3 linked regions of the Cricetulus griseus genome follow. The protein of the gene in region 1 interacts with the protein of each later gene in a biochemical or structural test. Links are inferred from orthologs where the notes say so. Each region holds a gene or a part of one and is shown on either strand. Other genes may lie near its edges.

Region 1 (4,284 bases):
CAACTAGCTCAAAGTCACACTGCTGTTAAACAGCAAGCCTGATAACTTGAATTCAAGCAAATCACTCCAAATTCTACTTAACACCAAGCCTCCTAAGGCTCTAAGAGAACAAAGTGCCAAAGCAGAAGAGGTTTTATTACTGAGCCCAGGCTGCTCAACATTTAGACTGGGGGTGGGGGAGGCAAAAAGACTAAAAAGCTAAGCAGAAAACCAGAAAAAGTTGTGACCTAGAAACTTATGGATAAAGAACAGAAGAAAAAATTTTTAAGGCCTCAATTTAAAAATGGATGAGGAACTGGTTTTTTTGGAATTGGTAAATACAAATAAGCAGGGAATTTGATGGTTATCATTATAGGTCAAACTGAATTTTTTAAGAATCCATGTCTAGCAGTTTTAACATACTTTCAACTCAACATGCATTTATTCGATGACTATGTAGCAGCTAAACAAGGATCAAAATAAAGAACACAATGATATCTAATGCTTGATTTAGTACAGACAAAAAATGGTAAAAATTGTAGGAGTTTTGGGAAGGTGAAAATCACAATAGTTCAGAAACACAAAGTATGTAAACACCCTAAGAGACAGTAAACAACGCCTGAAGACTTCCAAAATCATGACTGGCAGTGAGATTCTACTGGCATCTACTGAGTAAAGGGCAAAACCAAAGCTAACACTCTTCACTGTATAGAATATAATCCCTTAAGAATTTTATCTATTCCAAACTGCCAGTAACGTTGTTACAAGAAACTCCAGGTTGCAAGAATCAGCAAATAATTCAAGTTGAACAAGTTGGATTCTAAACTGACCTTAAAGCACAAGGGCATGTAGAAAGGCAGATTAAATAATAGAAACAAAAACATAAAAGTAAGAAGGGGCCTGTGTTTGAAATGGATGTCATGGGTAGCAAGAACAGGTTTTTTAACACTAAGAAATACGGGCAGTGGTGACTCATGCCTTTAATCCCAATACTTGGGAGGCAGATGCAGGCAGATCTCTGTGAGTTCAAGGCCAGCCTGATCTACAAATCTACACAGAGAAACCCTGTCTCGAAAAACAAAACAAAAAATCTATCTGAATCCAGTGCAAATGTGGGCTCAAAAAAAAAAAAATCAGAAGGAACACCAATATTAGGCCCTGAGTTTCGTTCCCTACACCACAAAAACAAACCGAGCCAATAAACGAGACTGATTAGCAGGAAGCAAAATGACATTACAACTAGATATAGGAGCAGCTATAGTGAAACACGCCTTTAATTCCAGCACTTAGGAGATGCCTGTCTCAAAACAACAACAAACGAAAAACTAGATATAGGTATAAGTGCTGGGAACAGAAGCACCAAATATCATTTTATATTGATACAGTACAGCAATGCAATGGTCTTCATGGTTGTATATAAAGTCAATGAACACTGTGTTCTGTAAGTACTGGTGCTAAGCACTTAGTAAACACAATTTTCCAATTCATTACTTATTTAGCATTATTGATGATTTCTAAAGTTCCATCCACTGCTCAGATTCGGGACATTCATTTAAATCGCTATGAACCAATCGGTAAGTGGCAGTAATAGGATTTCCAGTGCGACGTTATAAAAAGTTCTAAGAGGAAAATTTAAAATTCACCCCTCATAAACAAAATTCATAAAGCCACTCTAACAAGTTATTCTTACATTCTTTTACTACTGGGATTGTTAAAATCAGTCTTGCAGGCTTGGGGATATGGTATTGGTTTGCTTTCATTCTACACTTTGTTGCTAGCGTAGTCCTGCATGAATTCGTCAACCCAAAAATTCTCTTTCAAGAAATTCAAATGCCATTATTACCTTCAGGCCAGAAAGAGACAGTTAACCTGTTTAACTGATACGATCGATTTCTAATAATAATGATTCAGAAAACAACAAAAATGTAACATTTCAGACCCCTTTCTGGATGCAAAATCCTTTTCCCCACTTCCCCAGGGCAGAGAGGCCCGGCCTGAGGAAAGCATCCCAAAGGTTCACGTCTTCTTGTGTTCCGGTTGTTGCCAAGTAGCGTATCCTCATCTCTCCCGATATTTCCATCTACCCGTAACCAGACCTTTCTCCTCCAGGGACCGATATAGGAGCTATTTAACACCACCACCCCCCAAGTAACCTCACCTAAAACATTTTGCCAGTTCCTGGAGCTTCCCATATGCTTTCCATTGGGCCAGGCAAATACTTTAGCGATGGGGCTTATATTCAACCTGCTCAAGCCAAGATGCGCCCCAGCCCTCTGCTCTCCTCCAGAAGCCGAGCCCCAGCGGCAGATGGCTCCGTCGGCTGCTCCTCCCGAGGCAACCCGTCACCCCAAATCCCTGAAGCAATTCCCCCGGAGCCCCCCGAGTCCCGTAGCAGGGCCCATTAGAGAGGTTCTTAGACCCATTTCTTTCCAAGAGGATGAGCCGAGTCCCCGAGCTTCTCCCGACTCGGAACGAGGGACCCCAGAGAGAAGAACGTGGGCTCGGCCTTGGAGCCCAGAATGGATGCGTGGGGTGGGGGGGCGCGGCGTGGGCTCGCAGTCCCGCGGGCGAGGAAAACACTTACCGACATCCTGGTCGAAGGGATTGGTGGCAAAGAGAGGCATGTCCGCTGCGCGCCGAGGTGTCCCCGGGGACTGCCCCTCGACACCGCGGGAGTCAAGGTACGACGGAGAAAGGAGGCCCCTCAGGTACAAAAACAGCGACGGCGACAGCCTACACAGGATCCTCCTCAGCCCCTCCTCTCACCCACCCCCGGCAAGAGAGGCGGCGGCGGCGGCGGCGGCCACAGCGGAGAAGCGGCACAGGCCCCCGCGCGCGCGGGGCGTGTCGGGAAGCGAGGCGACCTAAGCACTGCCTGCTCCGAGTCTGACGAGAATCCTGCCCTTCCGCCGCGATGCACGCGACGAGACCCCTTTCCGGCTTCCTCTGTTGATCTCCCACGTGTCGGTGGGATTAGAGGCTGTGTTTTCGGCTTTTCCATTGCCCGGGAGTCTCGGGAGGACGAGGTCCTTCAGGCGCGCCGAGGCCGACTAAGCACCTCTGGAGTGATTCAGACACTGGGAAAGAAAGAGGCTTCAGTGTGGGTCCAGCCAAGCCCTTCGTTTTGACTCTCAGAGTTTATTCGATGGGTTGTTGCACTGTTGTAATCCCTCTAGAAGGTCAGACAGTCCTTTGGGTTATCCGAGTAAAATGTTCAGTGAGCCTGTCTGAGGGGACGAGGAAGTTGCTGGGATGGAGTCATGTGAGCTGGTGGAACTGGCTTGAATCCCTTGGAGGGAGTGTCAAGGCGCGCAGCCTCTGGAGAGGCTGAGGTAACTAACGCTGGCTCCTTCCCCAGCCTGAGATCTGAGGGAAGCTTTCCGGGTGTCGGCACCGACTGACTAAACGTGCAGTCACTGGGCCGCCTGAGCGATTAGTCCTCTGCAGCCCGAGATAACCACACACACCCAACAGCAGGAAAAACAAACGAAAAATGGAGCCAGACATTGATGGGGACTCTTGGCAACTTAAAATGTTGATTTGGTGATCTAGTTTGTACATTTGTATCACACACACACACACACAGCCCTCTAAATCATGTGGAAATCTTAGGGATCATTTCTTGGAAATATTACGTAAAGTTAGAAAGCTCGTCTTGCACATACAGTGAAATTATGTGAAGGATGCCCAAATAGGAACACATAAATGTAGCCTATAAACAGATATATGACAACAACAGGATTGGTATGACAGTACAAAAAAAAAAAAAAAGCTTGCTTACAAAACTGGGTTTAAAATGAAGTCAAAATTTTGAAGAGAGATAAACACATTAAAGTAGCGGGTAATGTTTTCAGTCATTTAAAAACAAAAAGAATCTCGAGGGCGGTGGTGGTGCACTATGGCACTCTCCTAAGGAGGCAGAGGCGAGCAGATCACATGAGTTTGAGGTCAGCCTAATCTACAGAGCAAGTTCCACGACAGCCACGGCTACAGAGAGAAACCCTGTAAAACAAACAAAAGATAAAAGGATCCAAGGATTGTAATGATATATTATTTATGATTTTTAAAGCTTGCCTGCGGATTTAGAAAGCAAAGCCAGTCACAAGCCATAGAGACCAGACACACCTTTAATCCCAGCAGCCAGAAGCTAGGGGGTGGTGGTACACACCTTTAATCCTAGGACTCAGGATTAAAAGATAGAGGGATCTCTGTGGGTCCAAGGCCACCCAGATCTACACAACAGTGAATCAATCTAAAAGAGAATTATAGCTCACACCTTTAATCCTGACATTAGGGAAATATATA
Region 2 (4,012 bases), about 120 Mb from region 1:
CCAGAAGTAATCAAGGGCTGCTGACACCTTGATTTTAGCTCAAGGAAGCCCACTTGAATTTCTGAAGCACAGAACTCTAGTTAAGTTTGTGTTGTTTGAAGCCACTGAATTCGTGGGACTTTGTAAATAGCAGCCACAGAAAATGAGCTTGAAGGGTTTGGGGACCCATGGATGGTTCCTTCTGTGCCTCTGGCTGAAAGTGGCATGTGACATTTGCACCCGCATTTCATTGGTCAGAATAAGCCACAGGGGGGCGTCCAACTCCACAGGAAGGAAGATGCCTGGCATCCCATACATCCAGCCTCAGGGAATCCTGGTGCCTGTAGGGAGTATCTAGTACATCTTTGTTGCCTGTAGCACTTGTTTCTATAGTCTAGTCCATCCCATTTCATTAAAAATCAAAAAATAAAGCCAGGTGTAGTGGCACTTATGAGGCTGAGGCAGGAGGATCTCTGAGTTTGAGGCTAGCTTGGTCTACATAGTGTGTTTCAGGATAGCTAGAGCTACATTTGTGAGACCCTGTCTTGAAAACAAACAACCAACCTCAAAATATAATCAGGCATAGGAGCGCATGTCTTTAATCCCAGCACCTGAGAGGCAGAGGCAGGAGAATCACTGTGAGTCTGAAGCCAGCTTGTTTGTATTTGAGTTCCAGGACCCTGCCTCAAAAAAAAGGATCTCTGTGTATGTACGTACTGTATGTGTATGTGTGCGTAGAGGCTAGAGGTCAACTATGGATGTCTTCCACTATCATTCTTCACCTAATTTTTTGAAACAGGGCCCATCACTAAACATGGAGCTTTCTGTGAACCCAGAGCTCTTTATGTAGGCCAGACTGTGTGGCCACAGAAGCCCCCGGGATCTGCCTATCTTTGCCTTCCCAGTGCTGAGGTTACAGGTGCAGCCTGCCACATATAGCTTTTACATGGGTACTGGGCATCTGAACTCAAGTCCTCATGCTTGTGAAGCAGGCGATTTATCCACTGAGCCAGCTCTCCGACCTGTAATGTTTTAAGTAGGTTTCCTAATCAACCAGTGACTTGCAACCTCTGGTTTGGACAATACTAATCTCCAGAGCCTCTTCTGCTCATGCTTCATGGACCACAGGCTATGTCCTGGACACAGGTGATTGGGCCAGGGGGTGGGGTACCTAATCAAAGCTGACCAATCAGATTCCTCTCCTGGGAATTTGGAATTGGGCCATTCAGTCAGTTAGCAGCGGGAAGCTGAGTGAGAGGCAGGGTAGAAACAGGGTTGGAGTGTGAGTCACATGCGAGCCCAAAGGATGGAGGAGCAGAAAAATCCCTGAGTAAGCGGGGCGCGCTGGTCCACAGAGACAATGGAGCAGCCGCACAGACAGCCTCGCAGCCAGGAGGCCCTGCAGCAGCCCCAGAAGGAGCGGTGGAGACAGGGAGCTACGGCTTGAGGCTCCGATGGCGTCCCCATTCTCAGCTCCGGCCCCAGCGCATCCTGCCTGCTCATCCTTCCCGTGAGATTTTGGCCTCCTTATTAGGACCTCCTCTTCTTTCTCGAGCTATCCTGAACCTTAACCAGGAAGGACACTGCTGGTCTTTCTCTTTGGGGAACCCAGCTGTGACTAAGGCTCAGGTTGTGGGGCACAGGCAAGGCTGGGGGTGAACAGACGCAGCTGCTCAGCAAGGCTGGCTGGGATTGTGGGCTTAGGTTAGGCCACGGGCAGAGAGGTCTATGCGGTGTTGCACACGTGGGGTTGTGGAAACGGAAAATACCCCATAGAGCCTCTTTTCTGACAGTGTTGGGGCAAGAAGTGAGTGGAGTTTTGAGTGGTGGTGCTTGGCTATGTGATGGAGTGGTTGAGTCTCGTGGGTGCCTCTTCGAGCCTCAATGTCTCCATCTTTGAAATGGGATTGTCCAGGAAGAGCCTTGTCCTGGGAAAAGTACTTAAAGGCATGAGTGGGGAATAATAAACAGACAGAGAATGAGGCAGCTGCTCTTGTTGTTTGAGGAAGCCACAAGAGTCCTGGCTTCCTGAAGGAGGTGGCCTCGGGTGCTGACTAAGGTAGTGGCAGGACATTCCCCACTGATGGCTGTGCTTCCTGCCCCTCTTCAGCCCCACTCTGCCCCTCACCCCAGTCACCTTTCATTTATCCCTCTCTCCCTCCCCTCTTGTCTGTTCTTCCTGCCGTTTTGAAACATGGATTTAGGAAACAGTGGGTTGGATTAAGGCACCAATCTCTGGAGGCCCAGTCAGAAGTGAGTCTGGGTCCCGACCTAGCCCCTTGCTTGCTGTGCTCCTGGGCAAGTTAATGCATCGCTTGGAGCCTCCAGTTAATTATCTGTGGAGTGGGAGTTAGACTATCCTTTCTACTATGAGAAATAATGAGCTGCTCGGCAGAGCTTTAATTCCCCTCCCCTTTGCCTCTCTCCGCTGCTTGGTGAATATTGCTCCTCCTGGCCCCACGTGTGCCTCGTCCTTCCCGGCAGCCACTAGAGTGGCTTTCTCTCTCAGTTGTTTATCCTGCCTGGGTGTGAGATCTTTCCTTTTCCTTAGAGCACAGGCTACCAAGGGCTGGAGGTAATTGTGACTTGGAAGCCACAGGGTTTTCACTTCTCTGGTTTCCTGGAGAAACATGGAGCTCCTAGCTTCTAGCTTGGAGTTGCTGGTTCAGATGGAGTGGTCTGCATTTTTTTCCCCTTACTTTAACAATTATCACACCCTGGCCAGTTGTGGCTTCTTCACACTCCCAACACTGATAAATATTAATGAGAAGACAAGGCTCCCAGGGCCCCTAGGGGAATGTTTGGGGAGAGGCTGGGCCACGCTCTCCTTTGCAAGCAATACTCAGACCTGTCAATATTCCCTAGGTCCCAGAAGGGAGGGTGAGGCAGGGCCATGGCTGTGGAGACCCCACACAGTCACAGGCCTGGATGCCTGCAGATCAGCTTCTGGGAAGGATTGGGGCACACCCTGCTGAGGCTGCCTAGGGGTTTCACCTTTCTGGGTCTGTCCCATCTCTCCCTGCTTCAGGCTTTCTGATTCTTTCCCTGGTTTTCTTCTCCTCCTGTCTCTTGTTCATCTTTTATTTTCATACCTCTACCTCTGTCTCTCTCTTCTCTCTTCACACCTCCCCTCCTTTCAATACCTTTCCTCATCCCCATCTCTCTAGCTTTCACTTTTCTTCTGCCTCTCCCCAGTAATGGCTGAGAAATTGTGGGCTGGATAAAGGTACTTAGGCGAGGGAGACTCGGGTTCCCAGACACAGCTCTAGAAGGGGAAAGGTTGCCATGAAAGGCAAGTGGCACTCTTCAGGATTTAGGGACTACATTACCATCTAATCTCAGGCCCAGTGCTCTGCTATTCGAGCATAGGCATCTGCCCCCACATTCCTGTGCCTCTGTCCCTCAGTGAAGCAATGAAATTCATTCATTTATCTGTTCAACTAGTTTATATTGTACTCTTGCCACCCTCAATCATTTAACAAGTATTTCTTGAACAATAGTGACGTGTGCCTTTGTGTGTGTTTGGGATGTACCCGTGGACAGGAGAGACAGTGGGCATATTTGGAGCGGGCATGCCAGCAGAGCAGACAGGTGGGGCAAGAAGTAAAGTATATGGTCAGGGGGTTGCTGGGAAGAAAGGAAGAGTGAATCAAGAGAAGGACTGGCTGACAGGGGTAGTGGGATTGGGAAAGTGGGCATTTGGGAAGAGTGTCCAGGGTAAGAGAGTAGGGTAGGGGAAACTGGGAGCAAAGGCCTTGTGCAGCAATCACCTGGTGGATAAGGAACGAGGAACAGAGGGGCTGGAGAGCAGTGAGGCTGGAGACTAAGGGAGGGTGGCAGGAGGTGACATAGGGAGGGAAAGAGGCCAGGTCAGATCACTGGGACTTAGCAGGCACTGAAGGATTTTCCTTTACTCGAGCTGGGTGGGCTTGTGAGTCTCCCTCAGCCCACTCTGAAGGATTGAAGGAGGGCTGCAGGCAGCTAACATTCATCCTAGGAGGAGAGGTGGAAGGAAGGAAGCTGTCCTGCTCTG
Region 3 (4,066 bases), on another chromosome or scaffold:
CCCCAGCAACAAACTTCTACCAGTCAGGCCTCACCTCCTAAAGGCTCTATATGCTTCAATTTTGGGTCTGAAGCCAGGGTCTAAGCACCCCAAATTTGAGTCTGGAAAGGGCATTTTACAATAATCATATTTTCCTTGTTTTTATGTAGTATGTTTTAAAACACATATAATACTCTTTAAAAACACAGACATTGGACAGTGGCATGCATCTAATTCCACCTACCTGAGGATGCTAAGGCAGGAGGATCTCTAAAGCCTAGGAGTTAGAGGCCAGCCTTGGTCACAGTAAGACACTTTCAAAAATATGCACAATAAAAACCCATAGACATTATATCCTAATTATTAAAATCAAGAAAATAAATCACCAAGGAATTGAACCCTTGTTTTTCTACAGCCAGTATTTTACTTAAGGCCCCAAACTCAGCATTCTAAAGAAAGATTCAGAAAAAGAATAGACATTATTGCAATGAAGGAAAGTATAATGCTAAACTAGGAAAAGAAGAATTCTAAGGAACTAGAATAAAAATATTAGAATGCTGAGGAAAAGAAAGGAAGGAAATACCCCTAGTTTCTAAGAGCAATTATATACATATTTGGATTATATTTGGTTAAGTATTTAGAATATTCCATACATACAAAATACAGTTATGTGTGTTGTATATGGGTGTCCACTGATGCATACATGTCAGAAGCCTATAAAGTGGTTTTGAGAGCTTTTTGTTTTAAAAGGTAGAAGTCAGGCTGTGGGTATAACAGGTCATAGCAGTGCTTTGATATGTATGTGCCATGCCCTGGGTGCCCTAGTACCAAACATACATAAACACAAAAATGGTGTAAGACTACCATCTGATGGGGAGGGCTCTTTGATTGATCTAACCTATAGGATATTTTTGAAACTAATGTACCAATTTCCTGGTACAGGCTTTTCGGAGACTGACAGCTTCCATTTTCTGCCTGAAGGCCAAGCCACACAAAGAGGCTGTATGTAGTTATCATTCCCAGCTGCAACTAACATCAACAACTATCCAGATGAATGAGCAATCTTGAAAACCAGTCCAAGTTGAACTTTCTGATAACTCTAAACTCAGTCGATTATTTTTGTAACAAAATTAAATGCAAACCTTCTGCTTCTTGACTGCCATAAGGTGAACAATTTCTATGGCATACTCTTACCACCAAGATACTCTGCTTCACCTCAGACACAAAACAATGGGTCTAACCAATCTTGGGCAGAAGCCACTCAAACTGTGAGCCAAAATAAGTCTTATTCCCTTTAGAAAATTAGGATACTAAGCATTTTATGAATAAAGTTTGATGTACTGGTTTTATTTTACAGCTGTCTTATTTACAAAGCTCTCTGGATTCTATCCCATTTATATTATCAACAAACAAAAGATCATAATGATTAATAAACTTCAAGCAAATAAATCAACAAGTTAAATAAAAAAGACACCTTTAAATATTCTTGTTAGTTTTTCTTATTTCTATCTACGAGCAATTATTCATAACTGAAAGGTACTTGCAATTCAACTTTAAAAGACGAATCTAATATGTAGTCAAAAGATCAGGAATATACATTTTCACTATCTACAATAATATGGCATAATTAAGATATATCCTAATTATTAGTTATAATTAAATGTAATTAAAGAAGCATGAATAGAGTCACTATCACCATATTGGCACGGTACTCTATAGATGAGAAACTACCTAAATCCAGCATGACTGACTGACTGACAACAGGGAGTCTTAAACAGAAAGAGTTGAAATGCAGCAAAACCTACTCACAAAGCTAAGCAGCAGAGGTCTTTTAAAAAAACAACACGGGGAGCTGAGTGTGGTGGTGCATGTCTTTAGTTCCAGCACTCCAGAGGTGGGGGCAGGTGTATCTCTCTGAGTTCGAGGCCAGCCTATTCTAAAAAGCGACTTCCAAACAAGAATTGCATCCTTCAGTTAGGTAGGCATTATTATGATCCGTAACCCTAGAGCTTTTAATAAATATTAAACTCCTTAGACTCTGCAACACCTCTGTGAGTCAAGTAAATATTTCTTGAATGACTGACTTGGTCAAGGTCACAGAGTAAACTGAAAACAAGACCTAAACCTAGGAACCGGGTCTGCAGCTTTGTAAGTAAATGAACTGCAATCTGGGGTTCTGACAATTCCCTCAGGACATACGAGTTGAAATGAACTTGACTGTGCCACAAGTCTACAATCGAAGGCACATCTTAGGAAAAGAAAACCCCCTCTTTGAATAAGTTTTAAGTGTGAGGAGTCTGTTTAATTCACTTCTTGTTCTTCACTAAAAACTTGCGTGACTAGGTCACAGTTATTAGGAAAAACATGACAAGTTGTTGTGGTCAGGCCTGGGATTGTAGGTAGCACAAAACCAAAACACAGAAGCAAAAGGAAGAAGACCAAAGTCGGGTCTAGTGTCCAAGAGAAAGGAGAACTGGCCAAGGCCACCCTCTGAGACGGGCAACCGTAGGAGGACAACGCGAGAGACCAGGAGTGCGGGCCCTTGCTGGGCCAGCCAGTTGTCTGGGGTTGTCCCACCCCTCCGCGGACGGGGCTCGTCTCCCGGATGACCAGCAGCTGGCGGACGCCATCCCCGGGAACCGGGGCCGGAGCCTGGACGCACTCACCGCAGCGCCCGCGCTCCGCTAACGCCGGCCTCCTCGCCCGACGCCCATCGCCCACCACCCGAAAGAGAACGAGCCTTCGCTCTCAGACGCAGGCCTGCGCAGCTCATCCCTCTTCCCGATTTGCCTTGCGTGGCGACGCGTCGCGTCTCTAGACGTCACGGCAGAGGCGGGGCTTCCAGTAGCCCCGTAACTCCTCCCTCTGCTTCGCTGGGAGGGACATCGGGATGGCCTGCTCTGGAAGGGCGAGCGAGCGCCGAGCAATCTACGCATGCGTAGGAGGGGCGGTTTGCCCCTGTGTGGGACGGAAGCGCGTGTCGGGTATTTCCGGGTTCCTTGCGCCTCTCATTTCCGAGGGGTATCAAGTTTGACGTGTGTCATTCTGTGCCTTGGACCTCTCTGCGGAGTAAGCAAGGATATTCTAGAACCTCTTCAACTGTGTATTTTTCTTCTCAGGTCTGAAATTAGGGGGAAAAAAACGGGAAGGGGATTGATACCTCTAAAACTTGGGAATAAGCATCCTCCAAATCCAGTCCTCTAGTTAAAGAACAAGACATGTTCGGAAAACATTGCAGAGACTCAGTCAACATCTCCTAAAGACCCAGTCTTACAAAGCAGGGGTCTGGACTTTGGGGAGAGTCTACCTAAGCACTCTTATGGAGAAAGGATGAGTTACTCCGATTATCTGTGTACATAACGTTGCTTAGGGTGGAGTTGTTGGCCCTGGTCAATAAATCCTTAGGGACAGCCCAAATGTTTAATGCATGGAAGTACACATGTCTACTAAGTGTATAAAGTAAAAGTACTTACCTAATAGGCAGTCATTAACCATAAAAAGTAGTAAGTGTCCAGTCCACTAACGGTGCTTCACATACAGCCTTAAAAAATAACATTTGTGTTAATTTCCTTTCCAGTACAATTAGGCACATGTAAAAAATATTCTTGTATTTCTACTTAAAAAATCAACACTAGCTGGGTGGTGATGGTGCACGCCTTTAATACCCCAGCACTCTGTAGGCAGAGGCAGGTGGATCTCTATGAGTTCAAGGCTAGCCTGATTTCCAGAGTTCCAGAGCTCCAAATCAAAACAACAACAACAACAAAAATCAACACTATATTGCATACTATTGGTTTTTCACCAACATGTAAAGACTATTGTAATAAGATAACATTGTGGCTGGGCTACAAAGTGAGAGTTAGGACTATTACGCAGAGAAACCCTGTCTCGAAAAACAACAGTGACACACAGATGTAATCCCAATACTTGGCAAGAAGATCAGGAATTGAAGAACAGCCTCTGTTACACAGGAAGTTTGAAGCCAGTCTGGGCTACATGGGACCCTGTCTCAAAAAAAAAAAAAAAAGTAAGACAAAACAATATTTTTAAAACTATGCATTTACTGAATGCATATTCTATGCCACTC

Evidence for each region.
Region 2: the proteins of Stam (region 1) and Arrb1 form a complex in vitro, tested with the Homo sapiens proteins (2 studies listed by BioGRID). The link is inferred for Cricetulus griseus from reciprocal best matches to the Homo sapiens genes STAM and ARRB1.
Region 3: the proteins of Stam (region 1) and Usp8 form a complex in vitro, tested with the Homo sapiens proteins (2 studies listed by BioGRID). The link is inferred for Cricetulus griseus from reciprocal best matches to the Homo sapiens genes STAM and USP8.

What each region holds. Positions count from the first base shown.
Region 1 is NC_048596.1:218,589,725-218,594,008, forward strand, and holds the start of Stam (signal transducing adapter molecule 1), read right to left. Parts: upstream 2,809-4,284; 5' UTR 2,604-2,808; coding exon 2,564-2,603; intron 1-2,563. UniProt on the Homo sapiens protein: Involved in intracellular signal transduction mediated by cytokines and growth factors. Upon IL-2 and GM-CSL stimulation, it plays a role in signaling leading to DNA synthesis and MYC induction. May also play a role in T-cell development.
Region 2 is NC_048596.1:99,980,192-99,984,203, reverse strand, and holds the start of Arrb1 (beta-arrestin-1), read left to right. Parts: upstream 1-1,211; 5' UTR 1,212-1,433; coding exon 1,434-1,489; intron 1,490-4,012. UniProt on the Homo sapiens protein: Functions in regulating agonist-mediated G-protein coupled receptor (GPCR) signaling by mediating both receptor desensitization and resensitization processes.
Region 3 is NC_048599.1:51,808,545-51,812,610, forward strand, and holds the start of Usp8 (ubiquitin carboxyl-terminal hydrolase 8), read right to left. Parts: upstream 2,802-4,066; 5' UTR 2,646-2,801; intron 1-2,645. UniProt on the Homo sapiens protein: Hydrolase that can remove conjugated ubiquitin from proteins and therefore plays an important regulatory role at the level of protein turnover by preventing degradation. Converts both 'Lys-48' an 'Lys-63'-linked ubiquitin chains.